Oreochromis niloticus: one gene and its partners. The protein of the gene in region 2 purifies or fractionates together with the protein of the main gene of each other region. This does not show direct contact. Links are inferred from orthologs where the notes say so. Each region holds a gene or a part of one and is shown on either strand. Other genes may lie near its edges. The genes, in order: ahctf1, nup133 and seh1l.

Region 1 (10,754 bases), on a different chromosome or scaffold from region 2:
ATCATTGAGAAAAAGAAAGGGTAGGATGTTTTCTGTTTTTGCTTTGTTGGTTCTTGCCTGTGTCTTTAGGTGATATATACACTCACCAGCCACTTTACAAAGTACACCTTGGGTTGGACATGCAGGTCCACAATGTGAATCTCCCTTTACACCATACTCCAAAGGTCATTTGAGAACAGTGAATCCATTGTCATGTTCAAGAAAGCACTTTGAGATTATTTGAGCTTGCAACATGGTGCTTTATCCTGCTGGAAGGGATAAAGGGATATACATGTGATGGACATGGTCAGTAACAATGCTCAAGTAGGCTGGGGCATTTAAACAATGCTGAAGTGGTACTAAGGGGCCTAAAATGTGGCATGAAAATATCAATCCTCACTATTGCACCACCACTAGCAGCCTGAGCCATTGACACAAGGCAGGATGGATCCATACTTTCATGTTGTTTATGCCAAATTCTGATTCTACCATCTGAATAATGGTCAACAGACCAGGCACCGTTTTTCCAATCTTCTGTTTGTCCAGTTGGAAATGGACAAAATTATCAATGTCCAATTTTTGGTGAGCCTTTGTGATTTGTAGCCTCAGTTTCCTGTTCTTAGCTGATAGTACTGGCACCCACTGCTGTCTAGTAAATCCTAGAAATCATTGTGTGGGAAAATCCAGTTTATAAATGATTCATGGCAATCCAACTGGCAGCAACATCCATTTAAAGTCATTTAAATTGCCTTTGTTCCCCATTCTAATGCTCAGTCTGAATTTCAGCAGGTTGTCTTGGCCATGTCTACATGCCTAAATGCATCGAGTTGTTGCTATGTGATTGGCTAATTAGATATTTGCATTAAGAATTTGAACTGTATCCAATGAAGTGGCTGATTAGTGTATCCACATTACGTAGTGTTATGTTACATTTATGTTATTTAAATAAACTTTTCAGTTGGGTGTTTGTGTTTCTAAAGGTTTGCTGTGGCTCTAAAATGTTTGAAACCTTTTGACTGTGAAGAAGCTAATGAACTCATGGTAAGAACTGCTCACGGAGTATGTTCTGATTTCTGAAAATGTTCTCTTGACACAGTGCTAAACTGTTTTTGCTTTTTTGGTTTTTTTAAACAGCGTAAAGCCAAAGAAAGCTATGATGCTGCAATATCATGGTCCCTGGATCTCATAACAGACTACAGATTTCGGATTGGTGAGTTGCTTATTTAATGCCTCAGCAAGCAGAAACACTGATGTGTGTGTGATATGTTGTTTAAACAATATTAGGATGATATCACTGAATTAGCTGCAGTACTAATCATGTTTTATCTTTGTAGCATGTGGCTCATTTTCTGGCTCCTTCATACAGTACTTTGACCATGATATGAGTAAGTTTCATCCTTGACCTGGAATCACAAATTATGAGGCTAGCACAGAATTAAAAAGTTGAATACACCTACAGATTCTCTAGGCCCTGATGTTGCTCTTGACTGCTGGTCTGAATTGGTTTAGGTTATCCTGTGAGGAGGGAGTATCCAAAGGCAGCTTCAGAGAGACTAACCATCATCAGTGATTCGACAATGGAGGAGCCATGTGACGTTAAGGAGGACAGCTTTAGTGAACAGCAGAAGGACATAAGGTGTTCAAAAAGGTTGCTGCCAGATCGGACCCATGCTGCCCACAACCGCGCAAATGAGAAGCTCGTACATTTCATTGTCAAGCAACACATGGTCGACGCACACCTCCTGGTATGAATGACTCTCTTGCTTTTCTGCTGGTGTAATTCTTGTGTTTGTGTTGTTTGATTGTGTTGATTGTTTGTGTTCCTCAAAAAGTTACAGTGCTGGTGTCACTTCACTAAAATGTTGCATCAGTGCTGAGTAATGAGTGCTGCTTTGGTCTTTTAGGACAGCCCAAACTGAAACAGAAGCAGAAAGTAGAGTTTTATACCAGCGCAAAATAATTTAATATTCTGAGTAATTGGAATATTTCATTTCCTTTATCCCACCAAAGTTTTATGAGATGAAAACTTGTATTTGGTTTCTGTGGCTCAACTTAGGCTTGAAACTTTCCTGCTCAAATTATGTAACTTTTCAGCTTTTGAGTTAGTGACTGCAACAGTGCCGGATCTAGTGCACCGCTAACCTGACCCCACTGTGGGCTGCCCATTGTGGGCTGTGTGGGTACACCAGTACTGGGGGTAGTGTGTTTGCCCATTTAAACAGCCAATAAAGGGCCCCCAAAAGGTAAAACTGCTGCCAGCCCTGTGTGGGAACACCCTACTGTGAGACCCACGTGAGAAATGTGTGGGTTTGCCCTACCCACACAGCCTCACAGTTCACCCACTGCACAAGCACGTTTGTAGGCCACGGTTTTCATCTTTTTTTACAATACAGAATCACAATACATATAAAGACCGGGTGAGGTTGAAACACCAGTCAACAACAAGGACTTTGAAGTGCTGCAAGAGAATAGCCCTGTTTGGCCCTACTAATGAAGTTACAATAGATCCAAACAAAAGCCTTTCAGCAGTAATTCTTCATGGAAACCTTTCACTTTGTAGTGTATGACTGTAATATACTTGTATTTGGAACAAAAATATGCCTTGAGTTCCTCTTTTAGCTGGCGTTACCATCTTGGAAGCTGAGAAAAAACACATGATGACCAGCTGACTTAAAACATGTAGCCACTGGTGACCTTTCATCTGAATTCCTTTTGTTGCTTTTATGTGCAGAGATCCTTTTTCGTGTCTGTTTGTTTTGTTTTAATAAATCTTGATTAGTTTTCACAGCATATACCAGCCCAAATGTGGATTTCAACAACTAAATCATAAACAACAGATTTGTTTTTTGTTTTTTATTTTGAACTTATTTCCAGTGTGTGGAAACAAATGCACATCCCCTTTGGTCATAGCACCACATTTGGCACAGTTACATAGGTCTGGAAATTAAAGATAGTCAAAGACTAGACATTTGAATTCAACTTGCCATCATTTATGTTCTTCTTAGTTCCTTGTTATAGCAATTGTCTCACCTCCTAAAAGAAGGATTGGGATAGATTTTTATTAACACCTTTTTCATTTCATTTATAAAGTACAACACTAAGGTTATCATCAAGAAATGCATATTATTTTTCTGTTATACAGGTTCACGTTTTACCTTGATTGATGACATACCAATCATGATTATATGCTATTTGCTGATGCTGATAACTGCTTATAGCTGAATTACCATAGTTTGCTGTTAGGTAAACGCTAAGAGGTACTTATAAGTGAGTACCAATATTTTGTTTGTCTTAACTATTTATCAAGACCAGGTATCCTATGCTTTTATAAGTTTCTGAATTGCACGCACTGTTAGTATGAGACCAGAGCAAAGTGGTCAAAAGCAGTCTATCTGTTAAGACGTGGAGATTTGTTTGAATGAAGTATGGGTGGTAGAGGCCACAATGAGTGTAAGCTGACCTCGATTTTAGTATACTTACAAATTTAAGTTCACCCCAGTAATGTCCAATACTTTCAGGAGCTCAACCAGTTATGCAAAGAGTGTGCCAGAGCATGCAAAAATTAAACAAACAAATGGGTGAATATTGCAAGTATTTGCATATGAAAGCTATCATTTTTTTTTCAGTTGCAGTTCTTTTTAAAATCTGACATCGGAGCTGTGCCACACGTAAGATGTGATGGCATAGGAAACCATAATTGATTGAATAAATCCCTTCCCATTGTATCACACTTCCTACAGGCTGTAATCCATGGGCAGGAGAAGTCCAGGTGGCTTCGTTCCTTCTTAAGTGCCAATCGTAGACGGGTGGTGAACATATACCTTGAAGATGACCATCAGCTTGACCAAGTCTACTGCTACCTAAATGAGCTCTATACAGCAGCTGTGGCCAACGCCCCCTGCGTAGCTGATGTGAAATCCATGGATCGTGTCCCTTTTGTCCTGGATGTGCTTCTTCCTGAGGTGAGCTAAAGCCTACATGAGTGCTCGCAGGTTTTGTTTGCAATGTTTCCTGATATGCAGTTCAGTTTCTGTAGTCCAGGTGTCATGAGTTTATCTTTCTGTGCAGGCCATTATTTATGCCATTGCTGGAGTGGACAACGTTTCAGTAAAAACAGCAGAAGAAAAATACCTCAGAGGGCGATGTATAAGCAACAGGTGAGACTTTTATATGTTAAATTTTTAAAAAGAATGACTTCAAGGCTAAATACTAATTTTTTGTTGTTGTTTTTTCAGAGAAAGGCAGCAGTTTGATTTAAAGATTGAGCAGCAAATGAGGAAGAAATCACAACATCCAAACACTTCCATTATTCTCTGACTGTCGGTCTGAGTGTCAAGATTTGTGATATTTGGAGTGTTTTAAGTTTTGTTCATAGGTAATACAGCCATAACCTGTGTGCCTTGCAATCAATCATTGCACTGATTTTTTTTTTCTTTTTGTATACTTGTAAAAAGTGAATATCAAGCATATAATAAAACCTAAATTAAGGCCATGAAATGCAATCATGAAAGGTGGTTTAATCACATAACTTTATTCCATAAGTGGAAATGTACACATGGTCAAATAGCTTCTCAAGCAGCTCAAGTATTAATTATCTGTCTGCATGTGCTTTTGTAAGAGTTTTACATAAAATAAAAAGTGTTATAAAACTGTTTGCTGAACTGTGAAGATTCTCATACACACTAAAGGGACAGGCACACAGAGACTGATTCACAGAGACTATACAAAGTCATAGACAGGCGAAAAAAAACTCTGCCATGGTGAAGAAAGTGGTGATGAACATTCGCCAACATCAAGGTGAGCAAGTGAAGCAACCACCAATGAGAGAAAAGGATACCCCTGATTCACGTATGATGGGGTGGAAAATGAATCGGAGGCAATCAGATCCTGGAGCGTCCACTACAGACCATAGACGGTATAATGTAGCGTTTATACCGTCCATGCCAGTAACTGACAGTTGCTCTATGGACACGCCTCAATAAATGGCCAAATGCCAACAATCGTCATCACACCAGCAATAATAAACAGAGTTTGCTCTTGTGGGCCTGTTTCCAACCCAAACATTTCATTAGAAATAATTCTGTAACTAATTTTATATACTATTATTATTGTATTTACAGCAGTGAAAAGTCTGGGAAGAAAATTACATGATTTGCCAAAGTGAAAACAGCACAGCCCGGGTGTGGACTGACATAAAATTTTCTTAGAATAAAAATGCTTCTGTGCTGGGCAAACAGGCAAAGGAAAATCTTCATAATAACATTTAAAATGCTTTTTTTTTTTTTCATTTTACCAGCTATTGTTGTGCAAAGCCAACTGGACCTTGTGTTATAATAATGTAATAATAAAATAATATTAGTACATGAGACTATAAACTTTATTTCAGTTTAAATTTTAATTCTAATAAAGGTACTCAGCTTTAAGAAGTTAAGTAGAACATGAGCAGAGAAAAAGAACGAAACTTAAAAAGCTCTATTTTCTGTTGCCTACATTGTAGAGGGTGAATTTGCCTCTAAGCAGGAAAAAAATGCAGCAGGTTTCACAATATAAAAATGTACAGACCCAATATCTGATTTAAAGACATTAGGACTTCATGCAGGCTTTAAATTGACAGTTATCAAATACCACTGAGCAGTCCCTAGCTTTAAATCTAACCTCTCTTCTTCCTCTCCTCTTCTGTCTTTCTTATCTTTCTCCAGCTCTCTTTCTTTTCTATCCCTGTGAACTGCAGCAGCTGGACCTTTAGGTAGCAACACACTGTGCGACAAACTGCACACATGCAGTTTGTGTGTTTGCTGATGTTTGTTGAGCTGATAGAAACATTGCATTTGAAATTAAGTGACACTTAAAAAATATTACTATCTTTATGCCCCTCGCTCCTAGATGTGCCACAACAGCTACTAATTGGCACATGCAGCTATTAAATATCGATAAATAAAAACACCGGACCTCTATTTAAGTACAGTAACGAAATATTTGTCCCTGCTGTCTTTTTGTCAGAGGCACCGTCTCAAATCACACCACCCCTTTCACTCTTGGTGCTATCCTTCTGTCACAAATCACAACTGACACTCGTCTCCACCCACTCCACCCTGACTTGATGCCAGCTATTTAAAATCATGTATCTTCACTACCTTTCCTTGGAGCTTAACTTATTATGGAGCTGTTGCTTTGCCTGTCTGCCCAGCATTGGAGCATTTTCACCACACGGCAGATGATCCGTGTGTTAACCCCTGAAGGGAGCAGATAAAAAAAAGAAAAAGAAGAAGTTTGATATTGCAAAGTCATTTGACTTTCCTGTTTTAGTTTCTATTGTTCAAACAGAAGCAATGCCCAGACTGAGGGGGGCAGCAGTGCGTCCTCGATGTGTGTCTATTCTGTCGGAACCACGGCGAGGAAGAAATGCGTCAGAGCACTTTTCGACTGTGGAAATGGCGCTCTGCGTTGTTGGAGCCTGAAGTCAGAGGATCCTTTCGTGCTTGTTTGTCAGGTGAATCTCCTAGAGGGCTATCGGTAGGAGAGGTACTTTAAAAAGCAACGGATTATGACAGAGGAAGAAAGGAATCGAGATAATTATAAAGGAAAACGAACCAATTGTGGCTCTGATAAAGCCGTCAACATTCTCGCCCAGGTAGTGTAAACGTTGGTAGCAAAAGCTAGCGGCACATTGCCTCACGTTTTCCAGGTCAGCTTGGAAAGATGTAACCGGGCTAGCTCGGCTCGCTAAATGAGTTTATGCCGAGTAAATCCCCACACAGATTCACAATGCGGGCGTCACTTGTGTTAGACAGAAACTAACTCTGCTGCGGTGCTGCCAGAAGCTACACGCTAACTGCGTTGCCTGGCGTTACGTTTTAACTGAAGCTAAACCACCAAAATGACATCAGTCCACCTATATGCTCAGATTCAAGTAAAACAAGACTCGTCGCTGACAGGGCTGTGGTTTTACTAAGATGTCAACAATGATAAATGCCAGTTATGGTTATTAGCTGGGGTGGAAAAAACAAACATACCGCAAGTTAGATGCACACTGCTAGCAGAAAGTTAGCTGCGTTAGCGAAAGTATTGCTGTACCTCGGGCTAGTTTAGCTAGCCACCCTTACTTTACCTTCGACTAGTGGTTAAAACTTGATGGGTTTAGTTTCAGTCACCGATGTAGTTGACTTGTTGTAGCACAAACCTGATAGTCTACATGAAATGGTAACAACTTTCAAATACTTAGTTATGCAGATGGCTACCCTTAGAGTTAGCTTTCTTAACTTTGACGGTGAAATTGAATAAACTGTAATCCTGCATGACCTTGCAAGCTAACTCGGTAACCTGCTAATGTAAGAGTGTATCAAGGCTACTACCTATTGTTCAGCACTAGATAACACTTGCATTGTTTCATTTATCTTTAAATTTTTATCACCATTGTGCGTTACTTAACAATGTAAACAACTGTTTTGGCACTATGTAGACGCTAACGATCCAGACAACATGAGCCGGTTACTGTGGTTTATGGAGCTATATAATGTTTTCATGTTGTCTCACATTTTTCAGCCTCGCTATATGTACATGTTCTGTCTTGTAGAAAGTTGCAAATGGTAGAAATGCATATAGGTGTCACAAAGACTTGACAAATGTTGACACACGTGATCGCTATATGTTTGCTTGTTTAAGCTATAAGTGCGCTTCAACAGTGTTTTGTTGTTCTAAAAAACATTTGCCTCCGACAGAGAATATATATTTATTATTTTGTAAATGTTATATCTGTGTGTTCAAACTCATGCCCTGGCATGTGGCTGCTGGACTACAGGCATGTTGCGCGGGAGTTCACTTGAATGCAATGTGTTTCCTTGTGTGGCCACAGGGGGCGGTATTGGGTACTATTTTGCAAACTGAACGTGACAGACTAATTTTTTGTCAGCACTGTATACACAACAGACGCAGATAATGCTATCTTAGTGGAGCACTAGTGCAATGACGAGGCCAGTCGACGGCATAAACATGAGCGTACTTGTGTTAGTCATGGTAATAAAATGAAATAAACATTTAAAAAAATCTTACATGAGTAAAGTTTTAGGAGTGGTCTGCCCTATGTAGGGAAAATTGGAGTATACAGCTTGTGAACCACAACATAAAATGACCTTGACATCTCTAGTTTACAGTGCTGTTGATGTAGACCTGTGAATTTACATGTTTTGGTAGTGTCAGTTATTATGAACAGGAAAAAAATGCCACTTGAGCAGGTTGGCTACTCGATTATTGTAATAGCGCTTTACTCCTCATCTCACTGTGAGAAGAATGTGCTAACAGATGTGCAGCTGTATGCCACGCGTTGTGGATTGGAAAGCAAGCCCATTCTCAGCCCCAGCTGTCCAAAAGTTTGCTGACAGCATGCTTCCTGACAACTGAGGGGGCGCAGGCAGTGTTTTGAAAGAAAGACCTCTTTTGTGTAGAAACCTGGTCAAGCACATAAACCCCAAAGTGGTTTTAGGGATTAGTAAGGGTTCAGGAGGACTTGTATTTTGTTTTAATTTGCTTGTGTTTACTTAATGAGCAAATAGCTTGGCTAGGGTAATGTGGAAGGAGGGAAATAGATGTTTTTGACTATTGACAGGGTTTTTATTGGCTCAGAATGGGCCCGTGGGAGATGAATACATACAAAATCAAGCCTGAGTTTGTTTCCTTATTTGACATAAACATGTGCATTTTATGTCTTTCCCCTTTGAAAAATAAAATGTCTATCATTTTTCTGTAAATGCAACCCAACTTAACAAAATTGGTTTTATAATTTTCCTTTTGGTTCTGCTCTTTTTATAAGCTGCCAAAAAAAATTCTAATAATAGTTTTATCATATTTGGCCAAAATATTGGGTGAAATGTAAATAAAAGAATCTTTTTAACATTTATTTATTTCCTTTTTATGTTTATGCAGTGAACAATGCATGACCTGACTGCACAAGTCACCAGCAGCTTGCTGCCTTTCTCAGGAGTGACTGTAGACGCTCTGGGGGAAGATGAGATTACGCTAGATTCTGTTCTTCATGGGAGTTTTACTGTTGGTAAGAATATTTCATCATTATTTTAAGCATTTAACTGTTTTTTTTTTTCTCTCTTATTTCTAAGCAAATAAAGGATATGAAATACAATACCATCACCCTCATATGAAAACATGTTATTTAATAAACTATTGAAACTATATCACCCAGGTGGGAAAAGAATCAATAAATAATAAGTGAAAATAAATCTGATGAGTTACTTGGTTTTTGACAGTCTGACATCAGGAAAAACATTTTTCTCTTTTTTTCCAAGTCACTACTTACTGTGCATGTTTAGGACATTCGGTATATATTGTCTGACCTTTGACTTTGACAGACTTTACTATTGGATGGACTTCTGGTTTGAAAAGAATTTCAGTATGTTCTTTCAAACAAATAAAAGAGCAGATAAGTTATGAATGGAAGTGCAAATGGTAACTCATCTTTTCAGGCTTGCGTTCATGAACCAAACTTCCGCTTTGCAGGACAATAAGAACTTCAAGAACTTGCAACACCATAAAATTAGGGCAGACAGCAATCCAGATGTTAAAGCTGATTGTTTCTTAAATATAAAAATCCGTTCATACACACACATATGTTTTAATTTCTTCTGTTGTTTTTAGTATTTTTATGTTAATTATTTTGCTTCACATAATTCTTTTACCGTGTAAATAAGTTGCTGATGTTGCAACATTGGGTAATTAAAAGGGAGGAAGAAAATCACCTCAAAATCTAACATAATTGGGTTTTTCTTAAAGGCTTTTGTTATTTTTTTGTAGTAATTTCCTGCTTTATCATCACAAGGCTAGTTTTCAGCTTAAACTGCACAAAGACCTGCAGCTTTTAACTTTATATTTTTATGCCCTTGTCTGTGTATGAAGGTCGCAGCGGGTTGGCCTGGCTGGCCTGTGGACCCCATTTGGAGGTTGTCCATGCAGTGACAGGAGAACGGCTGTCTGCATACTGCTTCAGTGGTGGAGGGGAGCACCCACCCAATGTCCTTGCCGCCAGAGACTTCAGCTGGCTCAAACGGTTCGGGCTTCATTTCATTCATTCATGATTTATTTGGCTCATTTGGATGTGGATGTAATCAGTGAAAGTTCACTATGAAGTGGATACATAATAAAAGTAATGACAGTGCAAATGTTAAGTCCTCTGGTGGTTAATTTTAACAGGTCTGGTTTGCTGGTTGGCTTGGAGGAAACAGAAGGCAGCGTGCTGTGTCTTTATGACTTGGGACTGTCAAGAGTGGTGAAGGCTGTTGTCATACCAGGCAGAGTGGGTTGACTGTAGTTTTTACTATTTTAACATTTAGACTCAAGTTTCTAGAACTTTAGTTAACTTGAACATTTTCTATTTTTCTTTTCTAAAACTCTCTTGCATCTAGATCACAGCTATTGAGCCATTAGTGAGCTATGGCGGAGCAAGCACGTCAACACAACACCTTCACCAGGGTTTGCGCTGGTTCTTTGGAATTGCAGCCGTAGTAACGGATCTCGGTCACGTTCTCCTTGTGGACCTCTGTCTCGATGATCTTTCCTGCAACCAAAGTGAACTTGACGCTTCAGGTGAGAAATTTCAATGAGGAAGTGATGTGTAGTATGCTTTCATACTTTTATGGATCTCTGTACTTTCTGTTCCTTTACTGGAAGCTGTTTTTTTTCCTATTTCACCTTTTCATTGTATGCAAACATATTCTGGCACCTATAGATTGTACTTTTTTTTCTAAAAGAATCTCTCCCTTTATATTTAT
Region 2 (10,249 bases):
ATCACCATCGCCATCGCCCAGATAAACATGGATATTTTAAAAGGAGTTGAAGTGAAGTGGCTAAAGTTAAAGATATCCAGTGCGTAGAGGCAGCCATAAGCTAGCAACCTTGGTATGTGCAAGCAAAGGAAAAAAAACAAAACAAATTCAAGGTCCCTGTTGTCTAATGAATTTATAAATATACTGAAAAATAAACTATATAAAGCTGTTGCTCCTCCTTTTGTTTGGCAAGGTAAAACTCATTTTATCATTTCTACCTCTTTCCAGTAGCAGAGCACTTGGTTTCAGATGTTTCAGTGAAAGAAGATCTTCTAACTAACTCCAGCTTTGGAGAATAATATTGGGGGCAATAATTTCTTCTGTTATAATATTTTTTAAGTATTTGCATTGAAGACAAACTAAATTGTTTGTATCTGCTGTAATTTATGGTTCATAGAAAGAAAATCAATAACAGCAGGTTACACATTTTAACTGAGCAAATTGCAATTGGTTCAGCTCTGCTCACTACATCTTATCAGCCTTCCCTTACATTCTTGCTGCAATCATTCTGTCACACCTTTGACATACCTCTCCACCTGCTCCACCCTGCCTCCACTCCTTTCTTCACCTCTTGTGCCTGTTACTTTGGAAGGTTGCCCTCAGATATTTAAACTTATGTACTCATGTCAACGTCCACTCCTTGTGCCTGCAACTTTCCAACATCTTCCTCTCATTCACATACATGTAATTTGTATTTGCAACTCTTCCATCTGCACCCTACTCTCACTACAGATCATGTCATCTGCAAACATCACAGCCTGTCCGTCACCACTATAAACAAGACTTCACCAATGTGTCTCTGTTCTCATGACAAACTTTGTCTTGTCCTCAGGATTATTTTCTCATATTTTGTACACCAAAAGAAACGCATGCAAATTTTAAAAAAAGAAAAAGAAGATATGGAAACAATTAAGGTGAAGACTTCTCATAACAATGTCTACTTACTTCCTCCTCCAGTACGTCACATGCCAGGTGGATGTGTGACACATCAGCCTGATGGGGTCTGGCCTTAAGCTTTCTGGCACGGAGGCTCCACAGCTTTACCGTGGAGGTGTCAAATCCACCGGCCAGCAACCGACTGTCAGCCGAGACCTCAGCAGTGTTCAGCATCTGCTCCGTGTGGTGGAAGGCGTAAAAACAGACAGTGGTGAGTGACGGTGGTCCCTCACGGACTTTCTTGACGCAGTCCTGCAGAGCCTCGAGGGCTGCCTCATTCTGTGGGATCCCTGCTGGGACCTCCACCCCATCACCACTCTCTGTTCCATCCACTCCGGCCCAGGAGGAGGTGGAGTTTGGAGAAGCTGTCGACCCGCAAGCAGCTCCATAGAGCTGGTAGTCTGTCCGCCTCGAGGCACTGACCTCCAGCTGCAGGTGTGTACTGAGGATCCTACAGAGGGCGCTGTTGTCCTCACTCTGCAGGTAACGCAGCAGGTAGCTGTAGGCTGGCTCCGTCAGGTGAACCACATATTTGTGCTCTAAGAAAGCATTCAGCTTGGGGTTGGTCACAATGTCTTGTGCACTGAGGACATGGCGGAGCTGCTCTATGATGGTACACTGCTCACTGTCCTGAAGAAAGGCGCCATGAAAACGACTGTAAAAACCATCCACAGCCCCCTTCAGTCCAAAGCGCACCATGTCCAGGTGGAGGTAGACGAAGAGCGGATAGAGGACACTGCTCACCTCTTTTGCCCAGGATATGTCTGCTTCTATTTAGTAGAAAACAAATATGTATATTTTTTAGGCTTTTGTAATCAATAACAACAAAGGTTAACAATATCGTAACACAGTTCCATCATCTCATTCTCGATATCCATGTGGAGCTGTTTGTATACAAGCCAATAATAATCCATTTTGTTATTCATGCCCTTTCAAAAAATGTAAATGAATAAATAAATAAATACGAACATAAATGTATGAAAGACAAATGTTAAAACCAAAGTTTGTAATCCATGTTTCTCTCTTAACAGTCAGGACAAAACAATGTGGACTCGCACAAAAACAGCTTAAGAAATGTTGACAAAATGAAAAAATATCAGCCCTGGATGGTCAATAATACAAAAGCACAATTATCAGAGAAAATAAAAATATTTAAAACTGCAGCAATATGTCATCTTTCAGAAAGAAGCCCCAGTCGTCCACAACCTTTGTCTCTTTCTGCTGTTTAGGATGCAGCTTTACCACTACCTAAAAAAGTGGAGCCGAGGCATAAACTTTGGGAACAACTACAATTATAGATGTGCAAGTCTAGACTCATCCACTCAGTGATGTAGAGCTCATACCTGACAGGAAGGCGCGGAGCTTGGAATACTGAATCTCATAATGCTGTGGGTCATACTGGCATGGTGCAGCAGAAACGACATTGGAACATCCTGACTCCGTCTGCACTGCTCAGACATAGAGAAAGAAGATACAGAAGAAACCAGAAAAAGTGTTAATTACATAGAATATTGCCAGTCAAAGGGTCAAATACATTACACTGCATTATGAAAATAGATTATTAATCTTAACCAATTATCCTAGGGACACAGGTGAGCTGGAACCTATCCCAGCTGTCTTATGGTACACCTTAGAAAGGTCACGAGTTTAACACAGGGTTAAAACAAAACAAACAAAAAACACAGTCTCAAAATCACTTAGAATCACCAGTTACCTAACACATTTCTCTGCACTGTGGAATTAAACCCAAGCAGGCCCATGGAAACTCAAAATCCTGCTCCTCACATACAAGGTCTTTAATAATCAGGCCCCATCTTATCTTAATGACCTTGTAGTACCATATCACCCTATTAGAGCACTTCACTCTCGCTCTGCAGGCCTACTTGCTGTTCCTAAAATATTTAAAAGTAGAATGGGAGGGAGACCCTTCAGTTTTCAGGCCCCTCTTCTGTGGAACCAGCTTCCAGTTTGGATTCGGGAGACAGACACTATCTCTACTTTCAAGATTAGGCTTAAAACTTTCCTTTTTGCTAAAGCATATAGTTAGGGCTGGACCAGGTGACCCTGAATCCTCCCTTAGTTATGCTGCAATAGACGTAGGCTGCCGGGGTGATTCCCATAATGCATTGAGTTTTTCCTTTCCAGTCACCTTTCTCACTCACTATGTGCTAATAGACCTCTCTGCATTGAATCATATCTGTTATTAATCTCTGTCTCTCTTCCACAGCATGTCTTTCATCCTGTTTTCCTTCTCTCACCCCAACCGGTCGCAGCAGGTGGCCGCCCCTCCCTGAGCCTGGTTCTGCCGGAGATTTCTTCCTGTTAAAAGGGAGTTTTTCCTTCCCACTGTCGCCAAAGTGCTTGCTCATAGGGGGTCATATGATTGTTGGGTTTTTCTCTGTATGTATTATTGTGCGATCTACTGTACAATATAAAGCGCCTTGAGGCGACTTCTGTTGTGATTTGGCGCTATATAAATAAAATTGAATTGAATTGAATATAGACAGCTCTAGGGTCTACAAGGTTCATGCCCAAAACCAAATCCATGTTGCACTGAGGCGGCAGTGCTAATTTTTGCAGTGAAGCCAATCCTGTGGTGTATGTGTAGTGTTTTCGTGTGATCAGTCTTTTCTCATAACTATGTGGCTGTGCGATCTATTAATTAGGCTGGAATCATCATCATCATCATCATCTTACCCGTGAGACTTGCAGCCATTTCTTCGGGGGACTGGTAGAGCTTGGCTCCTTTCAGGGAGCCGTCAGTGTCCACATACTGCCTCCTCTTCAGGTACTGAGCCACGGCATACTGGATCTGCTCAGTGCGAATCCGCTTCATGACCTTACGAGCACAAGCTACAGTGTCAGACACCTGGCACTTTTCACAGCACCTTCCTTCTCTCGCTCATCCACCCAATAAGTCGGAAGCATATAGTAACTGTTTTCGTGCTCACAACGGACTACAAAATACGATACATGTCTGTGATTACTAAAAATTCTCATTCATCATCTCCATGGTCAAATTAAACCTCTTGAGCACAGCATCACCTAGTTGCTAATTACATAGCAAAGCAACGCTGGCGTGTTTATGTTACAAGCATTACAAAGGGCCCAGCTAGCACAACAAAGATACGTGCCAACTAACCTGAAAGTCAGCAAAGAACTAGGCATGCAGTGTAAAGCTGTCAGGTTTCGACAGTAGAGGAGGATGCTTACACCAAGCTAACTGGCTAACTTCCTAATGCTAGAAGTGGGCCTGCCCGCTAAACTTTTAGCGGGATTAATGCCGTACCATCATTATTTGGACATTGCTACTTACTGCATAACGTGTTGCTGTCCGCCTTCAGTTACTGTGTCCAAACCGACCGCTTTTAACGCATCACTGTATCTGGCTATAACTACTATATCAACGTCGTTCGCTGCCGCTCCATCGTGGTTATCCAACCCTGTCAGACTCCATCAAATCATGCTAGCGAAAGCAGCTAAGCTAGCTGGCCGCTCTCATCTTTAATCAGCAATTCTAGGTGTCGTTAATCTACTGCTTTCGCCTGGCTCCCGTTAGTTTCAAGCTCAAGGGTAAATCTATAGATAACAGATTTCCTGAGAAGAAAAAAATCTTAGAACACAGTTATTAGGTTGATAAAATATAATTGTTGTAGTTCATAAAAGTCAGCTACTATGATGAGATGCACTGAATAGTTTGGAGTCTCCTGAAGATCTGATGTCATCTTGATGACATAAATTTGTGTTTGTTTTATTTTATAAATTTATATGTAAGCTTAAATTTACTGACCCAGAGGCAGAATTGTCTCTGCCAATCCCTGCTGTACAGAACTCTGTGTGAAAGTGCACTATTAAGTCACTAAATTAACTCTCACAGTATTTAGCGTACTTAACTCACTTTTTAAGCCCCTTAAAAACGTAGAATCAGTAGAGCGGAGTAATTTAAATTTTTAATTTTAATTGGATGAATATGGCCTACATGAAAAAGTGTGTGTGTGTGTGTGTTTTTCATATAGTCTGACTGACTTACCCACACAACAAGACTTTGCTCTGTGAAAGTGTTACAGTTGTAAAATCTCGTGTTCGAGTTGTAAATAAAGTTTTACGAAATAGGCGGAGGAGGCGATGACGTTTTAATCCAGCGACTGCACCGCGCGTTGTTTGGAGAGTTGTATTAGGTGGATCTTTGGTGTGAGCGCGCTTTTCAGGCAGGGTTGTAGTTATCACTGTTGAACAGTTCGGGGTACCACCGCAGGCATGTTTAGCCCCCGAACCGCCCCGGGCTCCGGCCGTAGGCAGCCGGCCAGGACCGCCGGGAGGAAGAGTGTCTCCGGTGCGGTCCCTGGCCTCCTGTTCTCCCCGCGCAGGACGCCGTTGTCGGCGAGGTGAGTGTTGTCGGATCAGATTTACTCAATCGGAAGGCTCCATATATATGACAAATAAAGACAATTTTACAGATTTATAGATGTTGTTCTTTCGTGCTGAGTCGTCAGTGCAGTCTTGGATTAACTGGGGCCATCAGACTGTAGCTACAGCTGATTGTTCTGAGTTTGTCCACTCTTAATGTTTGTGTCCTCCCCAGATCAACACCTACCCGAGTTCAGAGCCATGCGGGGGCAGAAACTGTTAACTATGATGTGCAGACCTTTGGGTCATCACTCCCCGTCAAAGTTATGGAGGCACTGACGATGGCTGACGGTAAGAGAAACATTGTCTTCTTTCTGAGAATGAAAGGTGTGCGTGTGTAATTTTATGAGCTTCAAACTAACATATTCAATTTCTATTTTCTTATATAGTTGCTCTCTCTTCTCTTTATGTTTCTGGTTGTGGGAGAGTTAGTAGTTTCCACTAAACATTTGTTTTTCATTTTCTTATTGGTCACTCTAGCTGATGATCAGATCTCAGTGAAGGTGTGTGAGAGCGGCTGGGCCTGGATGGTTTGTGGAGAGAGTCTGATCATCTGGAAGATCTGCCAAACTGCTGTAGCTAAGGTATGATTCAGGGCAGACATTTATATATTTTTTTTTCAGCCTGAGTTTAAAATTCACTTTAAAACTACATTTAGACTAAAATTACAATCTAAAAATCATTAAAGAGTTATTTTAACATGTTCTCCAAAATAATGCCAGCGGCGTGAGGCCTTTTTTCCATCTGTAGGATCGACAAAGCAAATAATTATTCACTGATCATTTATTTCATGTGTCTTAGTTTTATTTAAAGAGACTGGGTACAGTAACATGTGGTAAATGTTTCAGCGATAGAAAGACAGACTTTTTTTTCTCTCACAAAACCTGCTTTCTTATTCCGATATTAGATGGATTAAATGATGAATCAAAACAGACTGAAAGTTCACAATGTGCTAAACTGGCAGCTTTAAATTCACAAACTAAACTGTGTTTTCCTGCAGGTCTCAGTTTGTAAGGAGTTGCAACTGCCCAGCAGTGAGTACAACTACGCTGCTGACCTTGTGGCTGTGACTTCCACTGCTCCCCTGGAGATGGCTGCTGTTCAGTCCATCTCTGTCTTGGCGGTGGCTGCAGAAGGAACGGTTCGCTACTGGCCCAGCCTCTCCCAGGAGGGCAACTACACAGAGACCGATGTGGACCTGGGAGATCTGTGCAACTTTGTTGTTGCTGTCAGAGTAAGTAGGTTTCTTCAGTTGAAAATAGACTGTTTTGCTAACCAATTTGTTACAAAAAAAACTCACCACTGACCCTGCCAAATCCAAAATACTCAAATATTTTTGAAAAGGGTCCCAAAGTACAACCACATCAAACAGTATCACTCCAGAAATCACTGGGGAGTAATGCTGCTGTCCAAGTTTTATTCACTGCATACCTTGAGATATCTTGAAACATTTAAACACATGTAATAAAGCTGGCATTGCACTTTATTTTGTGTAAATTTGTAAGGAACAGGATTAAATCAACAACATATAATTTGACCTCTTTGTTTCTCACTTCCTTCTCCTTTCTCAGGGTGGAAGCTTTGTCTTGTCCTCGGTAAAGAATCAGCTCTTGAGAGCAAGTGCAGATTCTTCTGGCAAACTGCAGTGCCGAGCTCTGCAGCAGGGTCAGGGCATGCTCTCTGGCATCGGACGTCGTGTCTCCAGCCTGTTTGGCATCCTCTCGACACCAGCCAATGACACAGTGAGTCCTGTTAGGAGAGTCAACTGCAGAGTTTGGGCTTTCATTTATTCTATCTGTACAACTCTTTTCTAGCTTATGCATTTTTAATAATTAAGACTAGTCAGTGTACAGTGTTATTATTTTTCATCTATTGGTGATGACCTTTAAATACATCGAATAGTGTTGCTCTGAGCTTGACTCTTTTCCCATTTTTACTGTCATTCATTGATAATCTGATTATAACCTGCTAATTCTTTCCTCCAGGTGTTATTTGTTTGTTTTATATTAATCAAGTTTTGTTTTTGTTTTTTTTAATCAATTTTAGCCACAGAGAGAAATGAGTGATTACTTTTGATTCCGATTCACAAATTTCTTAAACACCCTTTGTGTTTTAAGTCTATCAGGCTGAATAGTGAGGGCAGTTCTTCTCCAGTGTCAGTTTAGTTATCTTCAGTATTCAGACTTCTGACTCTATTACTGCTGCAGCTCTGCAGTGTGCTGTGGGTGGGGGAAAGCAGCTCCCTGTACACACTCACTGATTCCAGTCTGAGTAAATGGGAGGTCGACGACAGCTCGGAGCACCAGATCCTCAACTGGGACGCGCGCAGAGTTCTGAACGAGAGCATCACAGACGCTATATGGGTCAGTGTAAGCAAACATGTGACCTTATTTATTACAGATGAAGGGTTTTTTCCTGTTCTGCACTGTAGCAAAGAAAACTAAATAAATAAGATTAAAATGAAAATGATTTCCTTTCCTCCAGGGGTCAGAGAGCAACTATGAGGAGATGAAGGAGGGAGCAAATGTGGCATACCTGGACATGAAGCTCAGCCAGTGAGTGTGTTCTACTGTGTGTGTGTGATTAAAAGCAGCAGGGCCACACATTGGTGCTTGTCTTTGGATTCACAAAAACCTGAATCATTTTTGTTTCCTTCTTCTTCTTCTTCTTTTTTTTTCACTAAAATATGCCGCATTTAGGATTGCATGTGCTAAAGCATGGTAAAGTGTTAGTTAGGGTGACCAACCGGCCTCTTTTTTTCTTTTTTTTTTGCACTTGTTGACTTGTAAAAGTCTATATCAGCGGTCCCCAACCTTTTTTGCGCCACGGACCGGTTTATGCCCGACAATATTTTCACGGACCGCCCTTTAAGGTATCGCAGATAAATACAACAAAATAAAACTAGTACCGGTACCGAAAAAAAGAAGATTTATTCATAACACACGTGAAAAGACCCAGGAAAACCGAGTTAACGATAAAAACGATAACAAAATAACGCTGAAAACCGATAAACACCCTGAAAACCATTTCACACCTGAGCCTCAACTCTCGCAGCCCGGTACCAAACGACTCACGGACCGGACCAGTCCGAGACCTGGGGGTTGGGGACCACTGGTCTATATGACATTTTTTATTTCATGATTCATTAACCACACAGAGAAGGCATCGTTTAAATATGTTAACGTTTTCGTGAAGCAAACAGTATTATTAAAGTTCTTCATGACTGGACCAAGTGTCCTCTTTTTTGGAAATCAAAATATGGTCACCCTAGCGTTAGCGTACTATGGCCAAACAGAGCTACCCATCTTGTGTCACTCTGCACTTCAAAGATCAATCTCAGAATTTTAAAAAATTATATTCAATATATAAATATTAAATGAAAGATGGATTTTATCCATTCAGTCAATAAAAAGACTTGTTTTACACTTGTCTCTCCACTTGTTGTGTCTTAGTCCGGCGGTCCCCAACCCCCGGGCCATGGAACTGTATTGGTCCGTGAGTCGTGTGGCACTGGACCACAGGACTTGAGGCTCGGGTGTGAAATGTATGGTTTTCAGGGTTTTTATCGTTAACTATGTTTCCCTGGGTCTTTTCCCGTGTTGTAGTTGTCTTATTCTGAAAGAAATATTTACACGTTACCATAGTGACCAGAGAGCATTAACCTCCTAAGACCTGAACTCTTCCACAGCATGCATTTTTAATTTATCTTTGATATTTGGGCATATTGGGACCCGATGAATGCAAAAACAAAGAATTACCAGATTAAAAAAAAAAAAAAAAAAATTAACGGATTTTTGTTTCTAAGGAAAATAAGAGCCACATATGAGGATATTCGTTTAAAATTTTGATAGAACAGTAGCAGTATAATGTCCTTGTAAGTGGATATCAGGCCCTTGTAGAGATTTAGTATTTTGGTCTAAATAACTCAAAATGATGTTTATTTTGTTGTATTTATCCGCGACACCTTAAAGGCCGGTCCATGAAAATATTGTCTGACATTAAACCGGTCTGTGGTGTAAAAAAGGTTCTGGACCGCTGTCTTCGTCGACAGGTTATCTTGTGTTTATTTGTTGCCTCCATGTTCCTCTATTATTCGCTATTCTTCTTGAACTTACTGCACCCCTGGCTGAACTGAGCTACACTGTTTGCTTTCAGAGCCGGATTGGTGGTTTTAGCTGCAGCCTGGCACCCGTCCGACACTCCCTGCCTGGCCTACTTCTGCCTGGTCACCCTGCAGGACAACGGAGCCACCATCTCTGACCAGTTCACCGTGGAGGTCACAAAGTACAGCTCTCCCTTCCAGGTCAGACCTAAAGCTGCTGCTGCAGCAGTGGTGTTTTTGTGATTTGATCTATTAGAGGATCAGTTTGGTCATCCTCTTCTTGTGTAAAACCCTGCTCATCAAGAAGAGGATTTGACTGATGACTTTGGACAATCCTCAATCATAATTATTAAAACATTAACCACTTTGAGCAACGCAGAAAGAGTGGTAGTGAAACTGTCCAAACACGTGACAGTGAAACTACAGGACATTGTAAAATAAAGTCCAGCATTTACAGTTCCTATTATAAGAGTGAAGATATTTATGCTTTTATTTTGAAAGTCTTTAGTTATTCTGTTATTTCCTCAGAACAAGGAGACCCTGCAGGCCACTCGGCTGGTGTTGCCTCGTTCCCCTGGCTCCACAGCCTTTCTGTATACTGAGGACGTAGTGTTCGTCTGCTCAACAGGAACCAACAGGGTCGCGGTACCTGATGAGAAAATCAGCTTTAACTCGCCAGGTGGGAAAGTTGGAACGTTAGAGCAAGAACTCCTTCATTTTGTCACAATTACTGCATGTAATAGTCAATGAAATTAATACTGTGGT
Region 3 (10,215 bases), on a different chromosome or scaffold from region 2:
AATGGAGAGACATCCTGCATATGCTGTGTTTGATTAATAGAAGAGGCTGAAAATCTCATTCTGATCAACTCGCTACTTACTTGTGGTGTAGTGTTGAACAATATTCAAAGACCTACAGCACTTAAGGTCTGGTTAACCTAACAGCTGGCCAAACAAAATCATGTTAACAAGGTTGACAGACAAGTCAAATGGCCACAGGAAATTTGCAAAACTTTCTAGTGAAATAAGATTCATCATTTTTTTTTTAACTTTTAGAGCTTTAAAACTCATCAAGCCATGATAAGAATCAGGAATTTAGTTCCATATAGTTGCAGACACATGTGGAATTGTGGTAATTTAAAAGTTATTCTTGACATACAGGAAGAGAAACATTTCCCAAGAAATAATCAGTTAAGGGCCTCTTCTCTGCTCCAGTTAAAAAACTCCAGACTTTACACACTCACGCTGAATACCTACACGCCGACACTCCTCTGTAAGCATGTTATCAGCATGCAAGTACAATCAGAGCATGAACGCCTCATCTTACCATCATCAGACTTTAGTCATTGTAATGTGAACCTCTTGCGAAACAATTCTCTTTAACAGTGGCAGGCTTTCAGTGACATTTCCCCACTCCCCTTCTCACCAAAACTAGACAGGTATCCACCAAGGCAAAGGTCCCTGAGCGACCAATCCCAGCGCTGCAGTGCACCACTGAAGGCCCATGCTCTGGGTCCAGCGAGCCAGACTCCCGAACCTTGAAGAGGAAGTTGAGGAAGGAGGCAGGGGATTCTGGAACACCGAAGTCAGGCCATGTGGTGTAGTGAAAGTGATAGATCTCTCTCGACTCCCCTGTCTGTAGTAGGCATAATGTTTGGTCAAGACTGGAGCATTGTATAGACACAGTTCTGCATGACTGAGCTGACTGTCACTAGGAAAACATTACACACTCTGAAATCACAGTCTTTTTTCAGCTACATGCCATTACACTTAAATGGTAAGAGACTGGTTAAGCAGTGCTTAAAACCATGCTGAAAGAGAGAGATGTCATTAACCAATAGGTGCCCTTGCATACTCACTTTTGTATTTTGCAGTTCCAGCAATCTGATTGTGAAATAGGATTGGTCCTCCTCTGACAGTAGCCTCACAACAAACCCTGTGTCTGTGAAAGACATCTGTAGCTCCTCGGTGGTAGGCCAGTATTGCGCGCACTTTTCCTGTTGAGACAAATACGTTCAGTTATTCATGGATAGGCTGTCATGTGCCTCGAGCCATTTGAAGAACTTCTGACTTAAATACTGGGCACAGCTGCACTTATGTACACTATTTCTCCGATTCAGAAAATCAACCGTGCACGAAGAGCACAACTAATTACGTTCGTGTACACCGAAGTATCTGACAGCTTGTTTCCAGTTTCCATAGGTTGTTCTTGGAACCAAGGCCATTATAGTTAGCTACACTAAACTCAACTAAAAACCAAAGTGTGGAGAGAGAGAGAGAAAAAAAAAAAACTTAACCCCCCCCCAAAAAAACAATGAAATACACAACAATGAAACCTCACTGAAAATGAAACCTTTTCAGAGTAAAACCTAAACTGAAACATGAAAACCAAATACAAGTGAAACTAAAAATAAAAAAAAAACACATTCAAAACTAAATGCAAAAACAAACTAAGTAATCATTAACTTTCCTGGAACTGTGGTTAAAATTTCAAATAAATGGAAACAACAGAACTGAAACTTTACATACAGTACAGCTTAAAACATGACCACAGAGCTTAAGACAATCTTGTGAAACACAGAGTTCTGATGAAGTACAACACCACAGAGCAAGAAAAAGACATTTTAAACTGGATTTTTTTTTTTTTTTTTTTTTTTAAATGTAAGGAAATAAATTTTTTCCATTGTCAAGTAAAGGAATTTGAGTCATGATTCCTGCCCAAAATATCTCAATTAGGCTTTGATCCATAACGAATTTAAACATGTGCAGCTCTTCAGTATTTCAATTCACTTTTTCAAAATTGTGGCATTCTTCTCAGTCTGTCTGTCAGCATGATTACACCTACCAGGGTGAAATTCATGAAACGTGGTGAAGAGATGGTACATGCACGAAAAACAAGCCAATTAAATTTTATAGTAAATCTGGTCATCTTTTTGAAAACTCCAAGACAGGGCTGAAAGCCTTTCTAGTCTACCAGATAAAAGTGGATAGACTAGAAAGAAAACACAATAAAACGTATCTTGGATTCTATTTCATCTTGTAAATGCACAGAATTTTAGCATCAGTGGAAACAGGCATTGGATCTCAAACCTTTTGGGATGAGCAAATGTATCTACATCTATTAATAAAGATTTGTCTCCTCAAACTTTCAAACAACCTAGCCAGCAGGGGGACTTCAGAACGTAATGATTAGCAGGTGCTGTAGTGTACTCACAGATCCTTTTTCAATCACTCTGTTGAGCATTATAACAGCTTTGCAACTCTGTTCCCAAATCATCAGCCAGAAATGGCCGCATGTATTCCTCAAGGGGCCCTGTCAAAGCAAAAGTAGAAAATCCACATAAATGAATAACATCCAGAGATCATCAACAACTCCCAAAATGTCAAACTCAAATCCTGTGTATTTTCCTTTGAGTGGCACGCAGATGTGTTCAACAGATATCCGTGCAGACAGTTCAGTGTACACTGCTTGTCCTACAATCTACATACCTGAGAAAGAATGTAAGCTCTTTGGGCTTCTTCCACATCGACTAAACTTGCATTGATGTAGTCATTTTCAGAGTTTTCAAGTTTTACCCGACTGTGATCGTCTGAAACCAAGCAAGAGATCACAGAGCAATTATGATGACGTCATTCTCGGCAGCACATATCATCAATGAGAGCCTTAACCATCGTAACACTCACATGGGCTGACATCTCTGTAGCGGTTCAGATTCCGGTTCACTGGAAGCTTTGCCACTTTGTAGGAATATTCACTGGCTTGGTTACGGATCTCCTGTTGCAGATGAGAAACCAAACAGGAACTCAGAAGCATCACTTTGAGTTGATTCAGTAGACAACAGCGACAGGAAACAGTGACACAACCTGTTCAATTCATGTACCTCCAGTTTTACTGGAGTGGTGACCAGTAATGACATTAAAAGAAAAACCATACGCAGAGATCAAAGGTCCTCAATCCTTTGTACTCAATTCATTACAACTGGTCTGCTTTGTTTTCATTGTCATTTGTCAAACTTAATGTACTGCAATGCCTCAGGCTGTTGTTTTCCTTTTACAACACAGTCTGCATGGGCAAGGCCAAAGGGCGAACTCAGTTCTATTATTATTATTTCATTCTAGAGAAACAGAAGCAGTTTTACTGGACACAAGAAAAGAATAAAGGAGAACAAAAATTATTTTTGACACTCCCAAGAATACTGTCGTGAGCAGGGGCGTGTCCCCTCACTGCCACTGAGCTACAGCACCATGGATAAGACTAGTGGCAAAAGTAATTTTTAGTAGTACACAAAGTACAGTTTCAGTGCATAGATGTACTAAGACATGATGCTGTATTCTTGGTCTGCATATTTGACTTCCTGATTTAAACCTCCCCATTTATTCAAGCTTGGGACTCATATTAGAAGTAAACTGACAGAGATAATCCCATAACATATGGAACTGAAAAGCATCATTATGTACAATGAGCACTATTGGTTTAAATAGATTATCATGCTAACGACATTATCCTTAAAATAGGTAAGAAATTAAATTAAGTGTTAGTATTCTCATGTCTGTTCAGTCCCATTTAAATTCTCAGTAGGACTGGACTGCATGAAAGAAATTTGATCTTTTATGAAATTACTTATCCATGCACTTTTTATAAATACCCCCCGCTCCCTGTCAAAAAAAGGTTTTGAAAGGTTTTTTTTAAAAACATTTTTTAAAAATGTATAAAGTGTGCACGTTCATTTCTTCTTAATTTATTAACACTCATGTGTGAAAAAACAGCTCTAGTTACATGGCATCTTTGTAGTTCGCAGCTGCACATTGCAGGGTCATAGCCAAAGTTTAACCGGAACAGACATATTATAAACGAAATGCTGTGCTGCGTGGTAAAACACAACACGCTTTTCTGTGGAAGTCCTGATGAGTTCTCAGAAACTGCGGCTGACGTCTGCTAGCGTCAGCCAGCATTAGCTAACCGAAGTGAAGATCGTGCCGATGCACGTTTTCCAGCTACGGAAGTCAGCTAGCGCGAAATGCTAGTTACTCATTCGTCTTTACCAAGTGCACTCCAATATGTATAAAGAACTTGGAAGTCATGTCACGAAGTGTAGAAATTTACACAATTAAAAGCGTGGACGGGAAAGTGACCAAAAACTCGAAGTGGTGTCTAACTTGATAGCTATCAAATTAGCTAGCTAAGTTAGTTAGCAACCGATCGTCATAGAAACAAGAGAGGCCCGGTCAGTGTCCCGACTTACATTGTAAAGGTTTTGCCATCTCCCCGACGAATCAATGTCTTGAAATTCTTCCTCCATTGTGTTGTAGTTAGTGAACCCAGACACTTGCCGGAATAATCTCAGAGTGTTTTCAGCACCGTTCACCAACTTACTCCTTTCTGTCAGCCATCTAAACAGCAGTGTGTGTAACCCTAGGAATCCCTGCGGGGAGTCTGCTGCTCCGGCACAATACTGCTTGCTTGCTTGCTGCCTGCACGCTGACTGACCCGGGTTGCCAGATATGCGTTCATCACAGCCTTCCGCAAACACACACACACACACACACACACACAAAAATACAAAAAACAAAACTAAACTACACTAAACTACAAAAATCTGATATTAACATTAATATTTAAAAAAAACATACGCAAGGATATTGACACTTAGCTCAGTGTTTTATTCAGTTGTTTCTAACTGGCAGATTCTTCTGGCCTTACTTAAAACACGAAAAACAAAAAAACAAGATATGTTGCAGTATTTCAATGAATGCATTAATTTAATTAATTAATGCAATACTCTTATTGAACGCATTAAAGTTCTTTCACAATCTCTTTACTGAATGTTTTTAAGTACTATTATTTTATGCCTTTACAAAATTCCTTTGCACAAATCTGTTTAAATATTGTTACTTGAAATTAACTTTTATTAATAAAGTTAGCGAAGAAAAAAACTGTCAGTTGGATCAAACCTGGCAACCGCGCAAGAGGCGGCAATAAATTTTGACAATATATTACTTACTATATTTACTTTGGCAGTTATGTATTAATAAACCTATTAATCTGTCTGTTTATCTGACTACGTATCTTCAAAGTAACTCTAGCTGTAGCAGTTTTTCACGGAATAGCTTTCGATATATTTTATCTTCTTATAAAGAATCCCAAAGTCGCTTTGAGCTGCTTAAAATTTGTGTGCATGCGCCGCCGTGTGGTCAATAACTTGTACTACACACAATCACATTACCGCCAAATAAACACACAGCATAAGTAGACACATGACAGGCCTGCCAGTTAATCGTCCCAGCTAGAGTTGCCGGTACATAGTTGTTATCATGTTTGTTGCGCGTAGTATCGCAGCAGATCATAAAGATCTAATTCATGACGTATCGTATGATTTTCACGGCCGGAGGATGGCGACTTGCTCCAGTGACCAAAGTGTCAAGGTAAGCTTTACATCATAGTTTGCTAATGTTAGCATTAGCCGTTACAGCTAGCAGGATAGCCTTGCCCACATTACCGACACTCTCACCTTTCATACTGAAATTACTGACTCGTTTTCCTGACAGACATGGCATGAGGTTGTTTGAAAAATCTTCCTCTGGTTATTACACTCGAGGGAAGTTATCTCAGTTTAAAATGCTAGTCTGTTAGCTCTGGTGCTTGTAGCACACGAGCTAGGCTGGCTACAGATAAGCTCTATACCACAGTAGTGTAGTTAAGCACTGCCGAGTTTTCCGACAGAGCTATCGGTGTATTTTTTATTATGTGACGACATAATAAAGGACGTACATACAAAAGTCAGTGCAAAATCGGTGATAATTGTGCACAGACACATGAGCAGTATTCAAGACTGATTTTATTCCACTCAGGTCTGGGACAAAAGTGAGAACGGAGAGTGGCACTGCACAGCCAGCTGGAAGGTAAACCACCATCATTTCCTTTTCTTTTTTATTTATTACTTTATGTTTGTCTTTTTGAGTATGGACACAGCATTACATTCAAAGTATCGATGGAGTTAATAGATGAATGTTGTTATGTCCAGACACACAGTGGATCAGTGTGGCGAGTGACCTGGGCGCATCCAGAATTTGGACAGGTTCTAGCTTCTTGCTCCTTTGACAGAACAGCTGCTGTTTGGGAGGAGATTGTAGGAGAGTCCAATGACAAGCAGAGGGGACTTAGCCACTGGGTTAGTACGCTTGCATTGCATTTCCCATTTAATATAACTGTTTGTTAGATTTCACCTGAGTGTTTCATGTTGGGCTTTTCTAGATTAAGAGAACCACGCTAGTGGACAGTAGAACTTCAGTGACCGATGTGAAGTTTGCTCCTAAACACATGGGTCTGATGCTGACCACCTGCTCTGCGGATGGGGTGGTGAGGATCTACGAGGCTCCTGATGTGATGAACCTGAGTCAGTGGTCCCTGCAGCATGAGATCTCCTGCAAGCTCAGCTGCAGCTGCATCTCTTGGAACCCCTCCAGGTTAGACTGCTGGTTTACTTTGTGTAGGAAACCAAGATGAGATTCAAATGTAGAGAGCAGGTGTAGTGCTTTTATATTATTTGCTTGCATATGTTAGACCATGTTTTCAGTTAATGTGCTTATGAAATAACACAATTACTACCACTAATTCTTTCAATAAAACAGCTTACAGCTAGACTTAATGTGACTTATAGACATGCAGGTATAACAACATAATGAATAATGCTGTGCAAGTATCACTTGACCTTTTCATGTGTATGTAACACCATGCTGTTAACAGTCTGCTGGTGTAACCATGCGTTGTCTCCTACCAACAGCTCACGTGCCCATCCTCCCATGTTTGCTGTGGGGAGTGACGACAGCAATGTAACATACGGTGGGAAGGTTCAGATCTACGAGTACAACGAAAACACACGGTGGGTATTCATTATCAGTGATGCACTAACCATCGCATTATGAAGATATACCAAAATAAATGATAGATTTTAATATTTATCTGTTTAAAAGGAAATATGGCAAAGCAGAGACACTTATGACGGTCACTGATGCGGTTCATGACATCGCGTTTGCTCCAAACCTGGGAAGATCTTTCCATGTGCTCGCCATTGCAACAAAAGATGTTCGAATATTTAAGCTAGTTCCGATGAGGTGAGTGTTTGCACTCTGTCTTATGGAAGGTCACAACGCACAGAAACTGGTGGAGTCACACAAATACTGCACTGAAGCCCTGCATGCAGTTCCTGAGCAGATGTTCTCTTTTTAAGATAATGAAAAATAAAAATTCAATTTCCTGTTTCCTGTGTCCTCCTGACAGGAAGGAGAGCACGTCCACAGGACCCACCAAATTTGAGGTGCAGATTGTGGCTCAGTTTGACAACCATAACTCTCAGGTGTGGCGTGTGAGCTGGAATATCACCAGCACCCTGCTGGCCTCCTCTGGGGATGATGGCTGTGTGCGCCTCTGGAAAGGTGAGGGGGCTCTTAACAACTGCTTGTTTGTCTTCCTTTTACTTCAGTGACAGCTTTAGTAAAAGCTATTTAATGTGGATATTCAGTGAATAGTACTTTTCACTAGGCATTGAATGACTTTTGTTCACTCATAGTTGCCATTGGTCATTTCCAAAATAAAGGATTTGTTGGTTCAGCTGTGTAAAGAAAGCTGACATTTTTGCACAGGTTCTCATCAAACCACAACAGCTTTTTTTTTTTTCTCTACTGACTGAGGTGCAAATACCTACTTGTGAATATGTTGTAATCAGGTTAACCAGCGTGTTTGTTTTCAGAGTATTGATCCCAGTAATCAAGCAGACTGATATTGGCAACCATTATGTCCTCCAGTTAGGAAACCTTTGCCCTCCTACCAAGCTTCAGGCTTTGTAGCTGTGTAGCAGCAGTTGCTGCTGTTAATACTAGGAATAATGATTTAGTCATAGGTTAAATTGTCCAGTTATTCAAGTCATTCCACACCAGATCATTTGGAATTGGTCCATAAGTTTATATGAAGTTTCTTCTTGTTTGAAAAATATTGGATAGATGGGATGCTATAGTGTCTGTAACTTTGGGCGTTACCTGGATGGGTCTGTTTGATCTACCTTGATCCATAGTTTGGTCTTATTCAGGCGGTGTCTATATACTGGTAAGTGGACTGCTACTTGTATAGTATCTTTCTACTTGGTTTATAACTCAAAGTGCTTCACCAAAACACACATTCATACAGTGCTTCTATCCTTTTTTTTCTAACATCTGCATACACACTCACACTCCCGAGTATTCAGCCTGGTGGAGTCAGGGAACGATTATTTTATTTTTTATTTGGTTTTAGAAACCAATGTTAAAAGATCTTAACAGTTTGTTTGCGCTGTAGCAGACTTTGTTTCTATATTCATAACCAAGCATCCTGACTGAGCTTACCTCTTTATTTGTGTGATTCACATTTATTTGTTTGTATCAGCAGCAGGAAAAACCATAGCGTCTCTTTTCCAGGTTAAGATATTTCTTTTTGTTTTGTTATGAAATGTATGTCTTAAAAGTTGGGCTTAATAGAAGTGTCAATTTTTACAAACTCCGTGCATATAGTACATCTGGTGATACGCAAGTATGGTCACACAGTCTGTCAGCATTAGAGAATTTATCTCTGCTTTGTTCTCTACATCCTGCTCTCTTTTTCTTAGAAATATGTTTTTAAAGCTGTTAAGTGCTACCTTCGAGTCCATGTCTGTTAAATGGTGTTTGTTGCTGAACCAGAATTACACAAAGGTTTTGTGATAGTTTTTACACTGACACAGATGAGAGAGGGCTTCAAAAATCTGAAAGGAATGAGCTCAAAGCGCTAAAGCTGATAAGTCCCCTCACAATAAATGGTTGTGCAGTAACTGTGTTCATAGCAACTAGTAGATTGTTAAATGATTTGTGTGCTTCAGCAAAATGCACTGGTCTGGAGGAACACCAGATATTCAAGTGGAGAAAAGAGCCCCACTTGAACACATGCAAAGTTATAGATTTAAAGTAGGGTAGAAGAACAGCTAAGTAAAGCCTATGACGGTGAAAAGTTCAGCTGTCAGATTGTCCCCTTTCTCCTTCGTGTGGGAAATAAATGCCGACTTTTCCTTCTGTCTCTGTGCAGCTAACTACATGGACAACTGGAAGTGCACCGGCATCCTGAAAGGAGATGGAAGTCCACTTACAGGTTCATCCGGTCAGCCCTCAGCCATGAGTACTGTGTTGGGCTCCTCTGTTCAGTCCTCCCAGAATGCCTTGAACGGGATGTCTGCAGGAAGGTAGGCAGCGTGGCGCATCCGATGCCACTCACCCAGCCCTACCCAAGCCAGTCAGAACTGACAACTTTGGTTTTTTTTAATGCCTCACCCTGACTGGGAGTACAGCTGCTTACTGACAAGCGTGTTGGACTCGCACTGATCCCGTGCTGCACTCATGCAAAGAGCTTGGCTTCTGGTTTTCACCACACAGGTTATCTACATTGTGCCTGTGGAGCCGGATGTGTTGTGGTGGTGTTTTCTAAGTGACTTCCTCTCAATTTATACTGATGCATGTAATAAGAATGGTTCCACTTTGCACTGTGAGTGCAAGGGCTAACTGTTTTCTTAATATATAAAAGGAAAATAAATGTGTTTATATGAAGCAGAAATTCTGTGATCATTAGATTCTGAGCCGATAGCAAATGTCAGTCTTTTGACTGACATGACTGACTGTTTTTGTTATTTGTTCCTCCCATTAGTTCTGCTTGGTCTTTTTAGCCAACACAAAATGAATATCGGCTGCTGATGTGGATAAGTACCATCTTATATTAACAGACATGCCGATATCACCTGATACAGACATTTGACCAATATATGAATGCATCCTGAATATTTTCTCCTTATTTTTCTCCTTTGGGTTTTGAATGTATCCTTGAACAAGTAGTGCCAAACTCTTTGCTGAGCAGAAAGGACAGCTTGAATGAGCCCTATTAACAGAGTGTAAACGCACACAGAACGAGTATGAATACAGCCACTGCGAGCCTTGAATGGAATGATAACACATTCCTTGTTTTAT

The links.
Region 1: the proteins of nup133 (region 2) and ahctf1 purify together in Homo sapiens (affinity purification with western blotting; 3 studies listed by BioGRID, with this or other methods). This does not show direct contact. The link is inferred for Oreochromis niloticus from reciprocal best matches to the Homo sapiens genes NUP133 and AHCTF1.
Region 3: the proteins of nup133 (region 2) and seh1l purify together in Homo sapiens (affinity purification with mass spectrometry; 4 studies listed by BioGRID and IntAct, with this or other methods). This does not show direct contact. The link is inferred for Oreochromis niloticus from reciprocal best matches to the Homo sapiens genes NUP133 and SEH1L.

What each region holds. Positions count from the first base shown.
Region 1 is NC_031965.2:26,145,416-26,156,169, forward strand, and holds the start of ahctf1 (protein ELYS), read left to right. Parts: upstream 1-6,315; 5' UTR 6,316-6,469; exon of another isoform or gene 6,470-6,610; intron 6,611-8,898; 5' UTR 8,899-8,904; coding exon 8,905-9,025; intron 9,026-9,882; coding exon 9,883-10,033; intron 10,034-10,176; coding exon 10,177-10,279; intron 10,280-10,388; coding exon 10,389-10,569; intron 10,570-10,754. Other genes in the region: si:dkey-127k13.1 (PWWP domain-containing protein MUM1L1), read left to right, coding at 1-20, 960-1,020, 1,114-1,189, 1,314-1,364, 1,489-1,724, 3,720-3,941, 4,048-4,136, 4,215-4,296. UniProt on the Homo sapiens protein: Required for the assembly of a functional nuclear pore complex (NPC) on the surface of chromosomes as nuclei form at the end of mitosis. May initiate NPC assembly by binding to chromatin and recruiting the Nup107-160 subcomplex of the NPC.
Region 2 is NC_031971.2:5,372,367-5,382,615, forward strand, and holds the start of nup133 (nuclear pore complex protein Nup133), read left to right. Parts: upstream 1-5,199; 5' UTR 5,200-5,232; coding exon 5,233-5,360; intron 5,361-5,557; coding exon 5,558-5,673; intron 5,674-5,862; coding exon 5,863-5,966; intron 5,967-6,382; coding exon 6,383-6,616; intron 6,617-6,953; coding exon 6,954-7,124; intron 7,125-7,589; coding exon 7,590-7,745; intron 7,746-7,866; coding exon 7,867-7,937; intron 7,938-9,537; coding exon 9,538-9,685; intron 9,686-10,012; coding exon 10,013-10,163; intron 10,164-10,249. Other genes in the region: taf5l (TAF5-like RNA polymerase II p300/CBP-associated factor-associated factor 65 kDa subunit 5L), read right to left, coding at 985-1,745, 2,319-2,423, 3,673-3,811. UniProt on the Homo sapiens protein: Involved in poly(A)+ RNA transport. Involved in nephrogenesis.
Region 3 is NC_031976.2:5,532,652-5,542,866, reverse strand, and holds the start of seh1l (nucleoporin SEH1), read left to right. Parts: upstream 1-5,394; 5' UTR 5,395-5,511; coding exon 5,512-5,622; intron 5,623-6,048; coding exon 6,049-6,099; intron 6,100-6,221; coding exon 6,222-6,368; intron 6,369-6,451; coding exon 6,452-6,663; intron 6,664-6,980; coding exon 6,981-7,079; intron 7,080-7,170; coding exon 7,171-7,311; intron 7,312-7,477; coding exon 7,478-7,632; intron 7,633-9,286; coding exon 9,287-9,440; intron 9,441-10,215. Other genes in the region: ptpn2a (tyrosine-protein phosphatase non-receptor type 2a), read right to left, coding at 626-835, 1,059-1,196, 2,414-2,512, 2,689-2,789, 2,884-2,974, 4,443-4,499. UniProt on the Homo sapiens protein: Component of the Nup107-160 subcomplex of the nuclear pore complex (NPC). The Nup107-160 subcomplex is required for the assembly of a functional NPC.